2 linked regions of the Daphnia pulex genome follow. The protein of the gene in region 2 binds, or shares a complex with, the protein of the main gene of each other region. Links are inferred from orthologs where the notes say so. Each region holds a gene or a part of one and is shown on either strand. Other genes may lie near its edges.

Region 1 (7,957 bases), on a different chromosome or scaffold from region 2:
TTAAAACAATGAATCCGGTTGGATGTAAGGAAAAGGACGAGAGAGAAAATCAGACTCTTCTTCATCGTCACCTGAATTAATTGGCTCCTCCGTTCCTGTTGAGCGTCCGTGATGAATTGCAGCATGAAGACAAAAAGAGAAAAAGGTCGTTTAAAATTAGCAATGGACGGATGTCAATTTTCACAGCAATTTTCTTGTTTTATCTTCACCGAGATCTTCGCATTCGGCCCACGGTTGCACTTTGCTCGATGCAAACATCAGAAATATCGTGTTTGAAACGAAGTAGACTCCGGCAGCGATTAAAAATACCAGACGCCATTGACCAAGTGTTTGCTATGCACAAGAAAAGCAGTTGTGAATTAATAAGAAAAAATTGCGAAGCATTTGCGAACAGTGAAGCTCGAAAATTTCCCCGTTGCCGTAACCAGGAGTTGTAGAAATTGGATTAGTGCGCTTTAAAGGTATGAAAGGTCTTAAAAATAATCAAAACTCACGTTTCCTTTAACTAGCACACCCACAGCATAAGGAGCCATAAATCCACAGAGATTGGCCACTGCATTGGTAACACCAAACAAAGTTCCGGCGTAAGGTGGTGCAATTTCGACAAAGTTCACCTGATTTTTTCATAATGAAAGGGGTTTAATGAGTTGAATTATTTCTGAATTATTTGTTTTAGAATGTACTTGAAAAGCAGAATAAGAAGCACCACTAAGTCCCACTGCCAAAGTAAGTAAAATTACGGCAGCTACAGTATCACATCCAATAAATCCAGCACCAATTAAAGCCAACGCGGGTCCGTATTGGCCTTTTATAATTGCAAAATTTGAAATTAATCTCGCAACTAAACTTGAACATCTCGTTTTTAAAAATAGTTACCAATAGAATTAAATATCTTCCGTACAGTAATAACTCTAAATATTTGTTTGGAAATGAGAATATCTGCGACTGTGCTGCAAAGGAGCGAGAAAAGCCACATCGCCAAGTAGGGAAGAGCGGACACGAAACTATTCTGTAAAATTCATTCAAATATCAAACGGATTAAGTGACTTTTTCACTTGGCCTTGTTTCAAATTTTATTTGTACCTGTTTCATGTTAAAATGTAAAATATTATCCATGTAACTCGGTAGTTCAGTCAACAGCGTGTAAAATCCCCAGGCGTGACCAACATTGGCCGCCCCTACAGCCCAGCAGGCTTTTGATCTAAACATGCATCGCCACGGTACGGGAGCACTTTTCTATATTAAGGAACAAAAATCAACCAGTCGACTTTTGATTAAAACTAATAAAGAATTACCCTTTTAATGGAGTCTTTCAAAGAACTGCAAATGTAATCTTTCTCCTCTTTGGATATTTTGAGATGTCGAGATGGAGAATCAGCAGTGAGGGGCATCCAAACGGCGAACCAGACGATACCCAAAGTCCCGAATACGTAAAACACTGTTGGCCAGCCGCCGTCGAATCCGTGCTCGCAAAGAATTCCCGAAAGAGGCAGTGTTATTACAGTCCCAAATTGTGCGCCTAGAAATTAGAATATAAACTTTAAAGAATTTCACGATGAACATTATACAAAATCCAACGTACCTGTGAAAACGAAAGCGGCCATTTTACTTCTCTCCCACGGTGGAGCCCATTCGGCAAGCATTGCGTACATCGCCGGGAACGTCACACCCTTAATGGATGTTGAAACAGTCAATTATTCGCTAGATTTAAGGATTTATTCGGCATGCGGAGGGCACCATGTCTGTTTCCCAGTGTGGCGCACTAGCAGCGCCTTTTTATAATAATATCGTAATACCTCTCCCAATCCCATCAAGACTCGACAGAAGATCAGCAAAGTGTCGCTTGCTCGAGCGGCGAACGGCGTCAACAAAGTGAAAAGTGAAGTACTGAGGATGCCATAACCAAGTAATTTTCGGCCGCCAAAAAGCTCCGCCAACCTCCCACCAGGGATCTGCGTTAAAACGTAGCCCCAGAAGAAGGAACCCAGGATGATTCCTTGTTTATATTCATCCCAGGCAAACTCTCCGTCCTTTTTAAAAAGAAAAGAAAAAATGTTGAAGATCATTAGTTTCGCATGGGATTATGTTTGACGGGGAATGACAAATAGACGGGCTTAAGCTGTGCACCAGACTGCAGACACGCGGCCATTTGCTCCAGACCATTTTCGTGCCTATATACAAAAAGCCAAGACTCGTGACAGGATTAACTCTCAGAGAGAACGAGGGAGATAGAATACGAGAGACAGGAAAAGGATGAACAAAGTCTAGCGAAAGCTTCCAATCCATCATCTCAGAAGAAAAGACCCAGGGGCATCGCGTACAAGGGGCCGAGTAGGGTGACTAGTCTTAGATCCCCTAGTGACTTTGCAATTATGTTTGACATTTTTTTTAGAGTCATTTACCTTTACTATTCCGGATTGGCTCTCTCCTGGAGTCTCTGGGCAGATATCCACCGCGGTTTGATTGATGTGTGGGATAGCGCTCTGATTGACCATCGCTACGATCGTCACGGACAAATTCACTCTCATGGCATAGACATTGGCAAATCCCAAGAATCCTAGCAAGACTAGGGTATGTCTAGTCCCCCAGCATCCTGTTAGTAATAGAAAAATGTATTTCTTTTGTAATATTTTCTATCTAGGAATGCAAGAAGTTTGAAAAGTATTAAAACACTCGTAAAACAACTCCTAGAAACATTGTCTGTGGTTAACAAAGCAGTCACTTGAAGTTTCCTTTGTAGATAAGGAAACCAACATGCAGGACAACATAACCCTGCACATGCGGGTAAAGGATGCTCCTATATCGACAGTTTTATACCTTGGTCTTCGTCATCGTGGGGAACGAGTCGCAACTTTTCATTTACTGTTTCATTTTCGTCTACTTCGTGTTGTTCTGTTACTGGGATACTAGTTTGCTGCACCATTATTCACAAATTGCACTAATAAAGGAGGGTTGGTAATGTTAAACTTTTAAAAGAAATGAGCCATTGGTGTGATTGTGCAAGGAGAGAACGGGAGTAGGTTTTGTGTGCGTGTGGGTGGTATTTTTTGTATAGTTGGAATGTAAATAAAAATATTAGCAGACCGATCGATGACACGTCGCAATAGCCTGTGGCTCTACTCCTAGATGTCTCTTATTGATTGAATGATGAAAAATAAATTTCACTTAGCTAAAAAGTCAGTATAATTTGTATAGTAAATAATACTATAGAATTTATTTATCCCTAAAAATGAAAATAAGGCTGCCCTGATAGTCTTCTTTATTTCAATTTTAATTTCACTAAAAAGATAAAAATCAACGATGACATTAGTAACTAGTGCTGCCAAATCAACTGGTGGCGAAGCATTGTTACAAAAATTCCTCTGCTATACACAATTGTTTGGAAATGGAGTGAAGTTTTGGTTTAGTTGATTGACATTTATTGTTATTTATTAGTAGATTGTGATAATAAAAGACACAACAATGCAGAAAGCACAAATGCATGTCGTCGCAAACACGTGTGCAACGGGAAATGTGGCGAGTGTTGCCAGCAACTTTGGTCCCGAATCTGGTCCCAATGACGGTCAACAATTGATGCTTTCTTCTTCAGCATTGGGATTGGAAATATTGTATGAATCATGTAAACAAGTGTACCCTCTTCAACCAAATCCATTGCAAGTGACAGCGTTCATCAAATATTGGTGAGTACTCGATACCTTGCTGATGTCCGATCAACACTTGGGAGTGTGCCCAATTGCTGCGAATACTTACCCTGATTATGAATTACAGGCTTGGTGGTCCAGATCCTCTAGACTATATAAGCATGTATGATCATCCTGGAATCCCAGAACTTCACATCCCTCCACATTGGCATTATATCAGGTATACATTGACACTTAAATTGTTACCAAGCACGACTTGATTATTTCGTTTCACATCAGTTTTGGCCTGACAGACTTGCACGGTGATGGCAGAGTTCACGAGCCTTCAGGACCAGAGTTTCCCAGTGGTTTTGGTTTTGAGCTGACTTTCCGCCTAGCCAAAAAGTCTGGTGAAGCCACACCACCCACATGGCCAGCAGCTCTGTTACAGGCCCTTGCCAAGTATGTTTTCCACACTGGTAACTCTTTCTTCGCTGGTGACCACGTCTCCTGGCATTGTCCTCTGGACGGATCGGATTTTGAATGTCGCTTGCAACACATGCTCCTGGCGGAGGATCTTTTGTTACCGCCAGTCCAAGGGCCATTAGGTTCCGTCAAGTTTCTGCAAGTCGTCGCCGTTACGGAGGAAGAGTTGCAAGTTTCCCAGCACTGGAATGGAACTAGCGTGTTGGAACTTTTGCGACGAGTTCCCTCGTAATATCCCCCGCTTCACAATAACTCTAGAGAATAGCCAACAAAAAAAGTTGTATTGATTTGCCCATTTTTACACAGTGCCGGAGGCCCTTGGCTTGTTGCCGACATGCAGCGTCAGTTATCGCTGTTTGAATTGCAGCCCTCCTTCCGCCGCGAAGTCGAACATGGTAAGGAGAAAAAGTTGCGCCGCTCCTCACAGGAGCCGTTTGTAAAAGTTTATTTATAGAGAGAGAATCCGATGTATATTCTGCTTCCATGTTTTTAGGGATCGATCGTGACGGATGCTCGTTGTCGGGCGTCAGCGCTCGCTGCCACTGGGAGGAGAGAAAAGTCACTTCGAAAACTGGTTCGGCTTGGAGGAGTCCGGAAGCTGAGGACGACTCTAGTAGTCAGGATGACGAAGAAGATGAACCGGAAGCTGGAGCGACCCTCGGGCGTCATCGACCGGCCGACGGTGAACCAACCATCAACGGCGAAATCTGGCCCATTCGACGACTCTACAAGGGTGTCCATTTGACGCTCAACTTGGAAGCTGCTTCCCTCCTGCCCGTCGTTCTTCGGTAACCCTACCAGTTGATTTCCATTGTCAGTCTTTCCTTATTTTCTAAATTGTTTATTATTAGGGGACGACTTCGACACGATCGGCATTTTACCTTCAAAGCAGTGGCCGGCGAAACGGCGGTGACGCTCCTGACGGGCAGAGTGGGAGGTGCATTGGCTTCACCGTCAGCTCCTCTCGTAGCCAAAGGTCCTTGGCTTCAGATCCTCGTCGATTCCGAGTGGTTAGCCAAACTAGAATCTGATTTGGCTTGCCTCCAGCAGCCCGATGGGGTGATTATATTTCTTTTTGATGAAATTCATCTCGAATGCATTGCCAATTTTGTGTGTGTAATAATCAAAACAATTTTTTTTTACTCTCTCCCCTATTTTATAAAAAGGTGGTGGTTCCCAAAACGTTTTGCTGGTTCGACCGACAGATGGCGTTGACGGTAGTTCCCGATGAATTATGACGACTGTATAAAAAAAAAGTCTTGTCTTTCTCAACTTTTTTTTCTTCTTTTATTTTTTTTCATGTTGTTTTCCTTCTTTTTCCCACCCCTTTTCTTTATCTATTCTTTTTCTTTTTTTACAATTGTAAACTGTAACCACGTGCCTTTATTATTATTCCTCGTGCTCGCGCGTGGGATGGAACCTGACCTGCGTGAATCTCCTTTTCTCTGGAAAAAAACAAAACGAAATATCTCGGGCGGATGTTGACGGAAGCTGCGTGTTTGCTGCAATTATAATGACGTTGAAAACTTGCCAAAAATGCGTTTTTCCAATCTTGTCTATTTATAGAAAAAGGCACACACACACACGAGGTGTCGAATCTGTGTGTTCATTTCGTCTACACTCTTTTTCTATTTCTTTCTTAAAAGCCTTTGGCTGTCGTGCAAAAAAGGACTGGGCAGCAGCCGAATCCTTGAAAAAGTTCTCCTCTCCCAGCACAGCCTTTTAGTCGTTGGACGCTTTTTTTGGATACACGGCCGCTCACGCAGGGAAAAGCGACCGGAGGTGGCGGCGGCCGGGTCCTCTCAAGCGTAATTAAAAGCGCAGTGGTCATCTCTTTTTTTTTTTAATTCTTTTTTTTGACGCAGAGTATATTTTGTTAGTTTTCATCTTTTGGCCTTCGGGAGGGGAAAATGAGCAGCGTGATGCAACAACAATTTCTTTTCAAAACTCATTGTTGTTTGCATTTAGCAGCTGAGCTAAAAGGGAATTTTGTGTTTTTTTTTCACGAAGGCCAAAAAGTCGGATGAGGGTAGAAAGAAGAAGAAGAGAAAAAAGGTTCACGGCATCGATCGGACTGGCGGGCCAGTCTCCCTGGACCCTGCGCCGATGATGAAGGAAGAGAAAAAAAAGAAGAGGAGGGGGAGTTGATTCTCACACACGTACAGACGAACGAACCCTGGTGCTCTTAACGCAGACGGGGAGGGGGAGAGCCTATCAAGAACGAAAAGAAGGAAGAAGAAGAAGAAGAAGGAAAAGAAGAAGAAGAAGAAGAAGAAAAAAGAGCGGATGCTGAGAGAAAAAGAAAGAAGGGAGGGGGGAGAGAACATGGCCGACTCCCGGCAGGAGGGCGGCCACCTCCTCCCGTTGGGGTGGAAAGAAAGTGGGAGGTTGGGGCGGGCGGCACGCGGGGGCCCCTCCGACCTTTTTTTTCTTCTTCTACGCGTTCAGACTTTAAGAGTCAACAATGAACTTGATTCTCACCCAATCATCTCGTAAGAAAAGAAGAATTTCCTTATTTAAAATAAAAGAAAAAAGTTGTTTTATGTTTTTCGCATTTTTTAATCCCGCGGGAAAATGTTGGACATACCATCAAAAAAGGGAAAATTGGGTTGTGTGTCGTGAGAGAAAAAAACATGTCGCTCATCTCTTATAAAGACGCACATATACACGCACTTGACGGGTGGAAAAAAAGAAAAACAAGACGACGCCATTTCGTTTTTTTTGAAAATAGATGCGTGTAGAGTCGGTCGGTCCTCCTCCTCCCTTTTGGCCAGCAGCAGCAGGACATCCTTATTTTCATCTGGTCGTTCCTCCATCCACTTGTTTTTACCGTCGATTCTCTCATTCTCGCCGTTTTCCGACGTAGTACACGTCTCTCCGGGTCGGCCAGACTTAACCTTGGGAGAACACACAACCGCGTTATAGACGAAACGCAAGACTTTTAAGAAGAAGAAGAAGGTGTCTTGTTGCCATTGTAAATTTAGACGACCAACTGGTGAGCAACTTTTTCGTTGGCTGACTTTAAGATTAATTTAGCGACAACTGGAAATGTACTCGGCAGGTGTCCACCACATTTCTTAGGTCATCTTTTATTGAAAATGATAACCCAAAAACAGATCTGACATGATAAAAAAAAATTAAAAACAAAAACAAAACTAAACATGTGTGTGTTAATCGTGTTTTGGCTTCCCCATTCTGGAATTTTTTTGTTTCATTTATTTTTCAATTCTTTTTTATTCCAAAACATTTTTTTATTTCATTTCTTTTTGTGAGCGATATCTATCGATAGTTAACAGACGACGATTTTTTTTTCAGCCCCTCCTCCCCCCCCCCCTAAAGAAGGAGGTTCTTTTTTCACACACTAGACTTTTGCTGAGTAGTGCCGCTAGAGGAGCTTCAGTCTAGTTGAAGCTTTCCGTGCGGTGAGGTCGCGGCCGTCGCCTACTCCCAAACTATTTTTACGATTGGCGCCAAACGTTATTTTTATTTTTCCACACACACACAACAACAACCAGCGCAGTGAGAGCGTGTGTGCCAGTGAAACCCTTGAAAAATTATTTTTTATTTTTCAAATTCTTCTGGTTACAAGAAACGTGTTTTTGTGTGTGGATGCAGGTGCACCCGACATGCTGGTGTGTGTACCATGTGCGTGAGTGTCAAGTGAAATCGGGCACGTGCTTACCTCTCTCGGATTTTGAGATTTCTGCGGACTAATTATTAGCCAAAATCAATCGACGATTTGGTTCTGGTCCGAGTGAATAAAATGCCAGCAGCGGCAGCGATCGGTCCCGATGGGCAGATTATGCGCCCGAGAAAGGGTCGACCGCCCAAAGGTGGTTACCCGTATCCGT
Region 2 (8,013 bases):
GCTGGATCGGTGACGCAAATTCATCCTTTCTTCTTCCCAATCAGGATAGCTCATTTGCTGTTGTAATACAAAGACGAAAGTCACAATCCAAAACGTTATTTGTAAAAAAATTCATATCAAATTACCGCGGCTTCGTTCAAACTGACGAAACTTCCACTGTTGCTTTGTGAAGACGGCATTGGTCGAAATTGGTGCTGGCGAGAATCGACTGATTGCGACATTTTGAGATCCGGAGATGGGGGCGGCAGATTTCTAGGCATCGTCTGTGAGAGCCTTGGTGGTTCAAACGATGTTGATGATGAGGGTGAAGGTGGAGGGCCGTATGCCGGTTTTTTCAAAATCCCTGGCGGCGTAAATTTCCGTGAAAGTTGAATGGGTGACGCCTCTTTGGGTGGTGGCACAGGTGGCACTATAAATGCATTACAAAAAATTTGATACTTTTCTCTACAGGACACCCTGTGATGTTTACATGAGTCATTTTGAGCTAAATTTAGAATGGGGCTATGTAAACTTTATACTCAAGGTACTATTTCTTAGCTAACACACACAATATCTAGTGGATACAGGTGAATAAATAATCAAGTTTCTAACAAGACAGGTAAACAATAATAATGTACTATCTTGAAGACCATTTACCACAAATAACAAACATATAGCTGACTAATATTTTCAAATAAACAAACCCTCGGTGTTGTTTAAGCTGTCAACAAGCTTAAGTGTAAACCTCAAAAATAAATTTCATCATAGTGGACAGTAATTATACGATAATGAACATATTTAGCTGGTCGTAACTCACGTGACTCAACGATAAAAAAAATTTCCTAGAAAGTCTGTTGATGGATGAGGAATCAACTAAGCCATCTGGCTCATGTAAACCAGCACACATTTTTTACTCACGATCTAACACGTTACGTGATTGAACACGTGAACTGCTGTTGAACTTGAACTGCCCACTTGATTATGAGATATGAGGTGGTCGAAAATAGCGACATTCCTTGTCTATACATTTTTCCGATTAATTTGACTTATAGAACAAAACAGCAAACCATTGAAACTTGGAGCAAATCAGCAAACCGCAAAGTGCAAACCATGCTGCATTCCAACAAATTCCGCAGCCAAGGCAACGTCTCATCGGCCATATTTGGCCGAAGTTTGTTTACATCGTCATTTAGTTGTAACCAACATTTTCTATTTTTAATTTCAAAATTTCAAATTAAAAATCAAAGACATGTTTCAAAAAAATCTAAAAATCATGTTTTTGATTTTTAATTTAAATTTTACTTGTTAAAAATTACAACAAATTTTGGTCAAATATGGTCGATTCAACGTTGCCTTGACTGCGGTACTCGTTGGTTTGCTCTAATCCGGCCATCTAATGTTGATTATTTCTCCATCATATCGAGACAAATTAAATCAACAACCTGGTGGCTTGCTGTCTGGGGCTGAGGGCAGAGGCCTAGAACCCATGAATCGCTTGAGAGATCCCATTTTCTCCATGAAGGATTCCTTGCGAGGCGTGGAGGGTGTCATCGGCGGCGGCTTAAAAAAGTAAAAAGGCCCAATTAGTATTATAACCTTATTGACAGATATAGAAATGTAAATGATACTTGATTTTGAGAACTCGATCCTCCGCTTTTCCTGCCCAGCAGAGGAGTCGTAAAAACATTTAAGCGCGATGTCTAAGGAACAAAATTGTTGTCAAGCAAAACAACATTGTTTTTGACGTAAAAAGCAACAACTTACCGAAAAATCTTTTCGGCTCAATAATGGGGTAGAAAATGGGCCTTTCTTTCCTTTGTTACGTGGTGGGGGTAGTGGTGGAGGAATTGAAGAATCGGCATTTTTGGGTGGCAGTGGTGGTCTAACTGTCGGGACTATACAATCCAGCGCCTGTGAAAAGACGAATTCTTTCGTTATCTATAACATTGAGGGTATTTTTCAAAATATGGAAGTACTTTTCTAGAATGATTCATTCTTTTAGGGTGTCGATGATACATGTCATCGCAGGATAAGCAAAATATTTGGTTGAGACATTTCTCACACCGAACTTTTGGACTTGAGGATCCACAAAGTTCACAGTGACGTCCATCGCCTTTTCTCGGCTCCATTTTTCCACCTACAACGTGTTGGAAAATACCAAAGTGGATGATTAATAGCTTTTCGTTTGAGCTAACCATTTTGTGCATACAAAAATAAAAATAAATTGTACCAAATCGAATTGAGAACGTAGCTTTATGCCCAGTCCCGTATTCTATGTCTTCGTATTCGTCCTCCAAGGGCGGTGGTTGGGTTGTGGGTAATGGAGGTGGTTCAGCAGATGCAGCGTCGTTGGTAGCAGATGCAGATTTATTTTCGGAACTAGCCGGCGTAATTTGCTAAATAATTCCCACAGCATAGAAACAAAATTAATTTCAAAAAATTAACCAACACCAACTTCCCCCATAAAAACTGACACAAAATTGATTGCAAAGAATTGGTTTAGTTGTTTCGCATCGCAATCAAAAGTATAACTGATGCTGGTGGTCTGAAGTAGTAAATAATAGCGTTGACGTACCCTCATTTCATTTGACACTCACAGGAGACATGGGATAGATTCGACACGAGATAGCCAATTGCGGAAACGGATAAAACGATCCCCACACTCAAAAATCGACTGAAAAATCGTATATAAACTCCCGGAGAGATGGAAAAGGCGGACCGCACGCCGCACTGTGCGATGATGATGTCCGTTCGCCCCGCCGGAATAGACACCAAAGAGCAAAGCAGTGCGACAAACAGGATAGGAATGGGCCGCTGGAATTGTCGGCAATCTGCCAGCGATTCACACGGCACCCCCTGACAAAAAGCAAAATCCCAAAAATATCGTCGAGCTCGTCCTGCTGGTCGTATCTTCCCTGTACCGGGGCAGTTCTCCCCCGTGAGACACCGCCAGCGCGTCAGTGAGAATCAATCTAGACATGCATGAATAGATTTGGCCTTCATTGGAAGGCATTCGGAAGGTGTAGCCAACGGGATTTTAATGGTAAATAACATCATGTAAACACCCGTGCAAACAAAAAAAAAAAAGTTTTATCAACTGAGGTGTACTATAATAGCTAGTAATCGTTCAGTAGATTACAGTAAACTATCAGAAAATATGAAACAAAATAAATAAAGTTTTTACTAGATTAACGTATCGTAAATAATAACAAGTTTGTTTTTTTGCCTGAGCATGCAACTATTTCAATTGCCTAGAGTTGAATGAACTGAATACTTCCTTGTCAATTTACCGAATCAAAAACCCATCCGAGTTCTCGAGATGTAGTTTCGCAGGAACAAAATCAACACTCGCGCTTATTGTGTGTGCCGTGTTTGAATGCAGCTGGCCTTTCTCTCAGACGTCACGGATTTAAACTTTATATATTCCTCTGGAAGAAAGTCAAAAATAGCTTGGCATTCAAGGTTTCCAACTCTGACTGCCGGCGCGTCATTGCCACGGTTATAGGAAGCCACCTCCGTCGTCAGAGACTATTCTGCTACCAAATATTTATCAACAACGATATCCAAATCATTAGCTACACCTCATTTGTCCATGCAAAGCATTTCAAAAGTTTAATCTTGATTAAATACCTACCGGAATTATTCATCTTCTATATTTAATTCTTTGTTTACTCTTATCTTTACACTCTTGTAGCTAAATAAAATATGTTTTTTAAAAAAATAGGGAATCGATAGATTTGTACCATCTCGGTGATGGGAATAACGTAAATTTTCAACACATTCATTTCCGGTTGTTTTACCGGTCTTTGTTGTGTGTTTTTTTTTTTTTTTTTTTTTTAAATTCTCTTCACGCCCATATATCTTCCACCTTCGTAGGGCGTGTAGCATACCGCGTGCGTACTGTCTCTTTTACTGCTTTTCGCGGCTTTTGCACTTTTTGGTCCAGTGCACAGCGCACTGGCTTGTTTAGTTATTTATACTCTTATGGAATTTTCTTATAAATATATCATTGTTATCCCTGTGTTATATGTTCACCACTTCGTCAGATTTAATCATGTCTATCTGGCTCGGGAATCATTTTCATCACCTTGCCAGTTGGCCTTATTCGAAAATACAGCGCCATCTCTGATCCAGATATTTACATGGGAATATTGTTAGTCTAAGCTTCGCTAGATGGCTTCTTTTGTTTATAGACAATTCATTTCTGATTAAAATCCAAGAATCGTAATGATCACTACAATTATATCCATTTCTTAACAGCGGTAAAAGAAGTGACACTGCTTTATTGTGGTTTCTTAACATTCAAATTATCTAATAAATCCGAGTTGAAAGTGCGTTGAAATGGAAGACTATGAGGTATTAGAAAAAATTGGAGAAGGATCTTTTGGAAGAGTTTACAAAGCAAGACATAGACACTTGAGAGGTTTGGTTGCTCTCAAGTTTATTCCAAAAGTAAGTGTTATAAATAAATTCCTTTCCATTTCATTGTAACAAATTCTATACTTTGCGTTTGTAGATTGGTAGGACAGAATGTGAGCTGCAAAGCTTGAGACACGAGTTTGAAATCCAGAAAGGCTTGCGTCACCCAAACATTGTTCACATGCTTGGTGCCTTTGAGACATTTAAAGAGGTAATCAAGAAATTTCACAATTTATTTGTTGTAGTTTTGTGTGTTGATTATTAACGATTTATTTCTCCATCCAGCTAGTTGTTGTCACTGAGTATGTTGAAAGTGACTTGTACAAACTACTGGAAGATGGGACACTCTGTGAAGACAAAATGCGAATGGTTGCTTGCCAGTTGCTATCTGCTCTCTACTACCTTCATTCAGACAGGATATTACACCGTGACATCAAACCTCAGAATATACTGCTGACAAGTGATGGCATCATTAAACTTTGCGATTTTGGATTTGCAAGATCCATGGACCTCAACACTTATGTGCTAACATCTGTCAAAGGAACTCCATTGTACATGGCCCCAGAAATCATAGAGGAAAAGCCATACGATCATAATGCAGATTTATGGTACATTTTTTATTGCAGATATTGTCTCTTCAAAGATTTGTTGATTTACCCTTCATTTTTACAACAGGTCCTTAGGTTGCATTTTGTATGAGCTCCTTTTTGGATCGCCACCCTTTTGCACCACATCTTTATTGCAACTAATACGAAAAATTCGTTACGAAACCGTGCCTTGGCCCACAAATCTGAGCCCAGATTGTTTCAACCTCCTTCAAGGTCTCTTGGAGAAAGATCCTCGCCGCAGGCTAACTTGGCCTCACTTGCTCGAGCATCCTTTCCTGGAGAACAAAGTTCTGCTCCCACCTGAAAGACGTATGTTCAATACAATGTTCCTTTTCTGGTAAAGGTAACAAATTTCACTGATTCCCTCTTTACCTTCTCTCTAGTGAGACCTCAGCTTCCCTTAACGACTGCCTTGACGGCTTCGCAGGAACTGGCCAAAGAGATTCAAAGACAAGATCTCTCCCAAAAGATGCCGTTCAAAAACAAGTGAACATTGTCGTGCTGATTATTTTATCCAATCCTTTAACTGAAATTTATTGGTTGTTCTTTTACAAGGGTTTTCACGCGAGCCCTTCAGAGATTAGAAGAGTACGAACGACGCCGAAATAGCGCTCCAGTTTCTCAGCCCAAACAATTGCTGGCCCATCCCGCCGCCGCCTTCCACAGCACCCAATACAATCCGTACGTCACTTTAAACAGAATTTCTAAAAGTCGCGTTTTTTTTTAAATTTAAAACTTTATCATTTTGGTCGAATAGTGCATTTGGAGACTGGACGCGTCGCCAAAGTGCAGCCGTCGACACCCACCGTTTACCGCCTGCCATCGATCCACGGATCAGTGAGAGGCAGCAATTGCTGGAAAGAATTTTAGAAACGACCAGATGGCCGACCAAACAAAATGTGGCCGATTTCGATCCCCTCGATCCTGGCACCAACGCTCATCATTTCTCCCTCATTCAGCCAGCCGTGCCCAACCCGCCAAACAACCAGCCGACTGTCGAAGAAACTGTTTCACCTTCCATCGAGCCCAAAACGGAGGTAAAAATCGATGTGCAGTCCTATCATAGAAGAAAGGATTGACCAAATGATGATTGATTCATTCTAGGCCAAGGAAACGACAACTGGCGAAGTTGCGGCCGCCGCAACCGCCGCCGCCGGTTCGTTGCTGTCGAAATCTCTGGAAAACGACGAATGGGAAGAGTTTCTTGACGGAACGCTGGCCGACGCCATAGAGAATCCGCAGACGCTGGAGCAGAGGGATCTCGTCGCCGTTGTGGTGGCTCCGTTACGCAACGTCAACGCCAGCCCGAGCCTAGTCGAACGTATAGCGACTCTGCTGGCCCTGCCTTGGGCTGGAATCGACCGCGAGGAATCAGTCGACGAAGAATTAATCGTCCGCGCCTACGCAGACACCCGCGTCGTGCCCAATCTCTTGTACGCTTGCAAAGTAATGGTTCAGAGAAGATCTGGCGATAACCGTAGCACCGGGTAACTCCTCTTTTTGTTTATTTGTCACAGTCTAAATTCCATTTCTCATTCTCCCATGTGATTTCATTTCGTTTTCTATTTTTCTTTTTTTTTTGGGTTGTGCCCAAAAACAGGAGCATCGACAGTAAAAAGACGGACGCCGAATTGACGGCCGACGATCTGCAGTCCTTAGAAATGCTGCTGGGTTTGATGGCCCGTCTGGTGCACCTGAGTACGACCGCAGGTAATCACTCATCGCGAGCTCTTGTGTAACTGGAAACGAAAGTGGGGGTGGCTAATCATTATTTTAATTTTCTATTCCTTCCCTTTTTTTCCCCCCGATTGAATTCACAACAGAATTCATCAATCAATTCTGCGATGCTGTTTGCGTGCTGGATTGCGCGGCCGCCATTCATCACCTGTTGTCTGTCGATCGTCGCAAAGCCCATGCAGTCGGCCACGTTCTGGCCATCCTGTCGCACGTCCTGCGCACTCGAGCCGAGAACGTTAGCGTCGTCCAAGATATTCTCACTCAAAGAGGTATTACATTTCACACAATTGCCTTGAAAAATAAGAAAATGAACGGCTAATCTCACCATCTCTTTCTACCCTTGTGCGACATGACAGACACAAATTTGGTGCGTTTGTTGTCGAATCGAAACCCCATGATTAGGTCCAGGTGTTGTACGCTCATAGGATACCTGTCTCTCAGGTAAGAGAAAAAGAAAAAAAGAAATACAATAAAAATACAACAGCTTTTTCCCATGACGTCAGCTGCAGCAAACAGCGTGAATGATGTTCCTATTCTCTTGTTTTCTTTCTCGCCTCGTTTCGCCCAGGGGCACTGACAAGCTCAAGGAATTGAGCAGACAGCCTGTCGTCGTCGAGCGCGTGGAGCAATTGCTAGCAGATAGCGATCCTCGGGTCAGGCAGGTCTGTACCCCCAAGTTTGGGATATCCAACATCTTTTCTTTCGAAGGCCTAGCCTATAGCCGATTCTTTTTCGCTTATCTTTTTCTCTGATTTAACCCCTTCTCTTTTTTCTCTCTCTCTCTCCCCGACAGAGTGCCACATTCGCCTATCGTTTGCTGAGCGGCCATAAAACCCGGGCCGGAAACTGAATGGACGAGCACTATGCAAAGTGGGCCAACCGCCGATAGAAAAACTCGCGAAAAAGAATCTTATAAAGAAAAATAGCCAAAACCAACTTATTTTCACCGTCCCAACTCCATGACGGATGGCCACATTTTGCTAAGCTTTTTCCATTCTGCCTCCAATCGGAAGAGGGGCGACAACACAACAATCGTAAAAGGCTCATTACATGACAACGCCGGATTTTTCGGTTGACTAAACAATGAACCACCTCCGTTTTCACTCCTCCCAAATAGCAAATCCTGTTTTATTTTACTTTGGTCTATCTTTCGATCTATTATCGTCAGTGCCATTTCTATTGCTTGACATTTCCCATTACCGTTTGATCTCGTGAAATATATCTGATCTTTTGAATCGCACTCGCCCAGCAGCATAATAATAATTGAAAA

Evidence for each region. Proteins that work in one complex are often made in the same cells at the same time.
Region 1: the proteins of serine/threonine-protein kinase fused-like (region 2) and suppressor of fused homolog are in contact, whole or in part, in a crystal structure (PDB 6LPH), measured with the Drosophila melanogaster proteins. The link is inferred for Daphnia pulex from reciprocal best matches to the Drosophila melanogaster genes fu and Su(fu). Residues at the interface, in NP_477499.1 of Drosophila melanogaster: Phe371, Val372, Ser373, Asn375, Ser376, Asn377, Met378, Ile379, Leu380, Asn381, His382, Met383, Asn384, Asn386, Phe387; in NP_536750.2 of Drosophila melanogaster: Leu18, Ile22, Pro33, Asn34, Pro35, Leu36, Gln37, Val38, Thr39, Thr40, Leu41, Leu42, Asp50, Tyr54, Met57, Arg127, Thr130, Trp131, Ala133, Asn134, Gln137.

What each region holds. Positions count from the first base shown.
Region 1 is NC_060019.1:8,215,445-8,223,401, forward strand, and holds suppressor of fused homolog, read left to right. Parts: upstream 1-3,314; 5' UTR 3,315-3,462; coding exon 3,463-3,680; intron 3,681-3,768; coding exon 3,769-3,861; intron 3,862-3,920; coding exon 3,921-4,334; intron 4,335-4,412; coding exon 4,413-4,501; intron 4,502-4,599; coding exon 4,600-4,894; intron 4,895-4,957; coding exon 4,958-5,165; intron 5,166-5,272; coding exon 5,273-5,344; 3' UTR 5,345-5,635; downstream 5,636-7,957. Other genes in the region: putative inorganic phosphate cotransporter, read right to left, coding at 491-614, 684-805, 877-1,009, 1,084-1,236, 1,296-1,519, 1,583-1,670, 1,797-2,030, 2,403-2,593 and 1 more; zinc finger and BTB domain-containing protein 4-like, read left to right, coding at 7,870-7,957.
Region 2 is NC_060025.1:6,991,026-6,999,038, reverse strand, and holds serine/threonine-protein kinase fused-like, read left to right. Parts: upstream 1-3,800; 5' UTR 3,801-4,320; coding exon 4,321-4,431; intron 4,432-4,495; coding exon 4,496-4,609; intron 4,610-4,683; coding exon 4,684-5,006; intron 5,007-5,073; coding exon 5,074-5,315; intron 5,316-5,389; coding exon 5,390-5,492; intron 5,493-5,561; coding exon 5,562-5,687; intron 5,688-5,763; coding exon 5,764-6,043; intron 6,044-6,110; coding exon 6,111-6,493; intron 6,494-6,606; coding exon 6,607-6,716; intron 6,717-6,829; coding exon 6,830-7,012; intron 7,013-7,099; coding exon 7,100-7,184; intron 7,185-7,311; coding exon 7,312-7,405; intron 7,406-7,536; coding exon 7,537-7,593; 3' UTR 7,594-7,983; downstream 7,984-8,013. Other genes in the region: E3 ubiquitin-protein ligase lubel-like, read right to left, coding at 1-57, 126-409, 1,422-1,539, 1,608-1,679, 1,744-1,890, 1,956-2,116, 2,210-2,375, 2,555-2,560. UniProt on the Drosophila melanogaster protein: Probable serine/threonine-protein kinase; maternally required for correct patterning in the posterior part of each embryonic metamere. May be involved in control of cell division during metamorphosis and ovarian development. May interact with costal-2.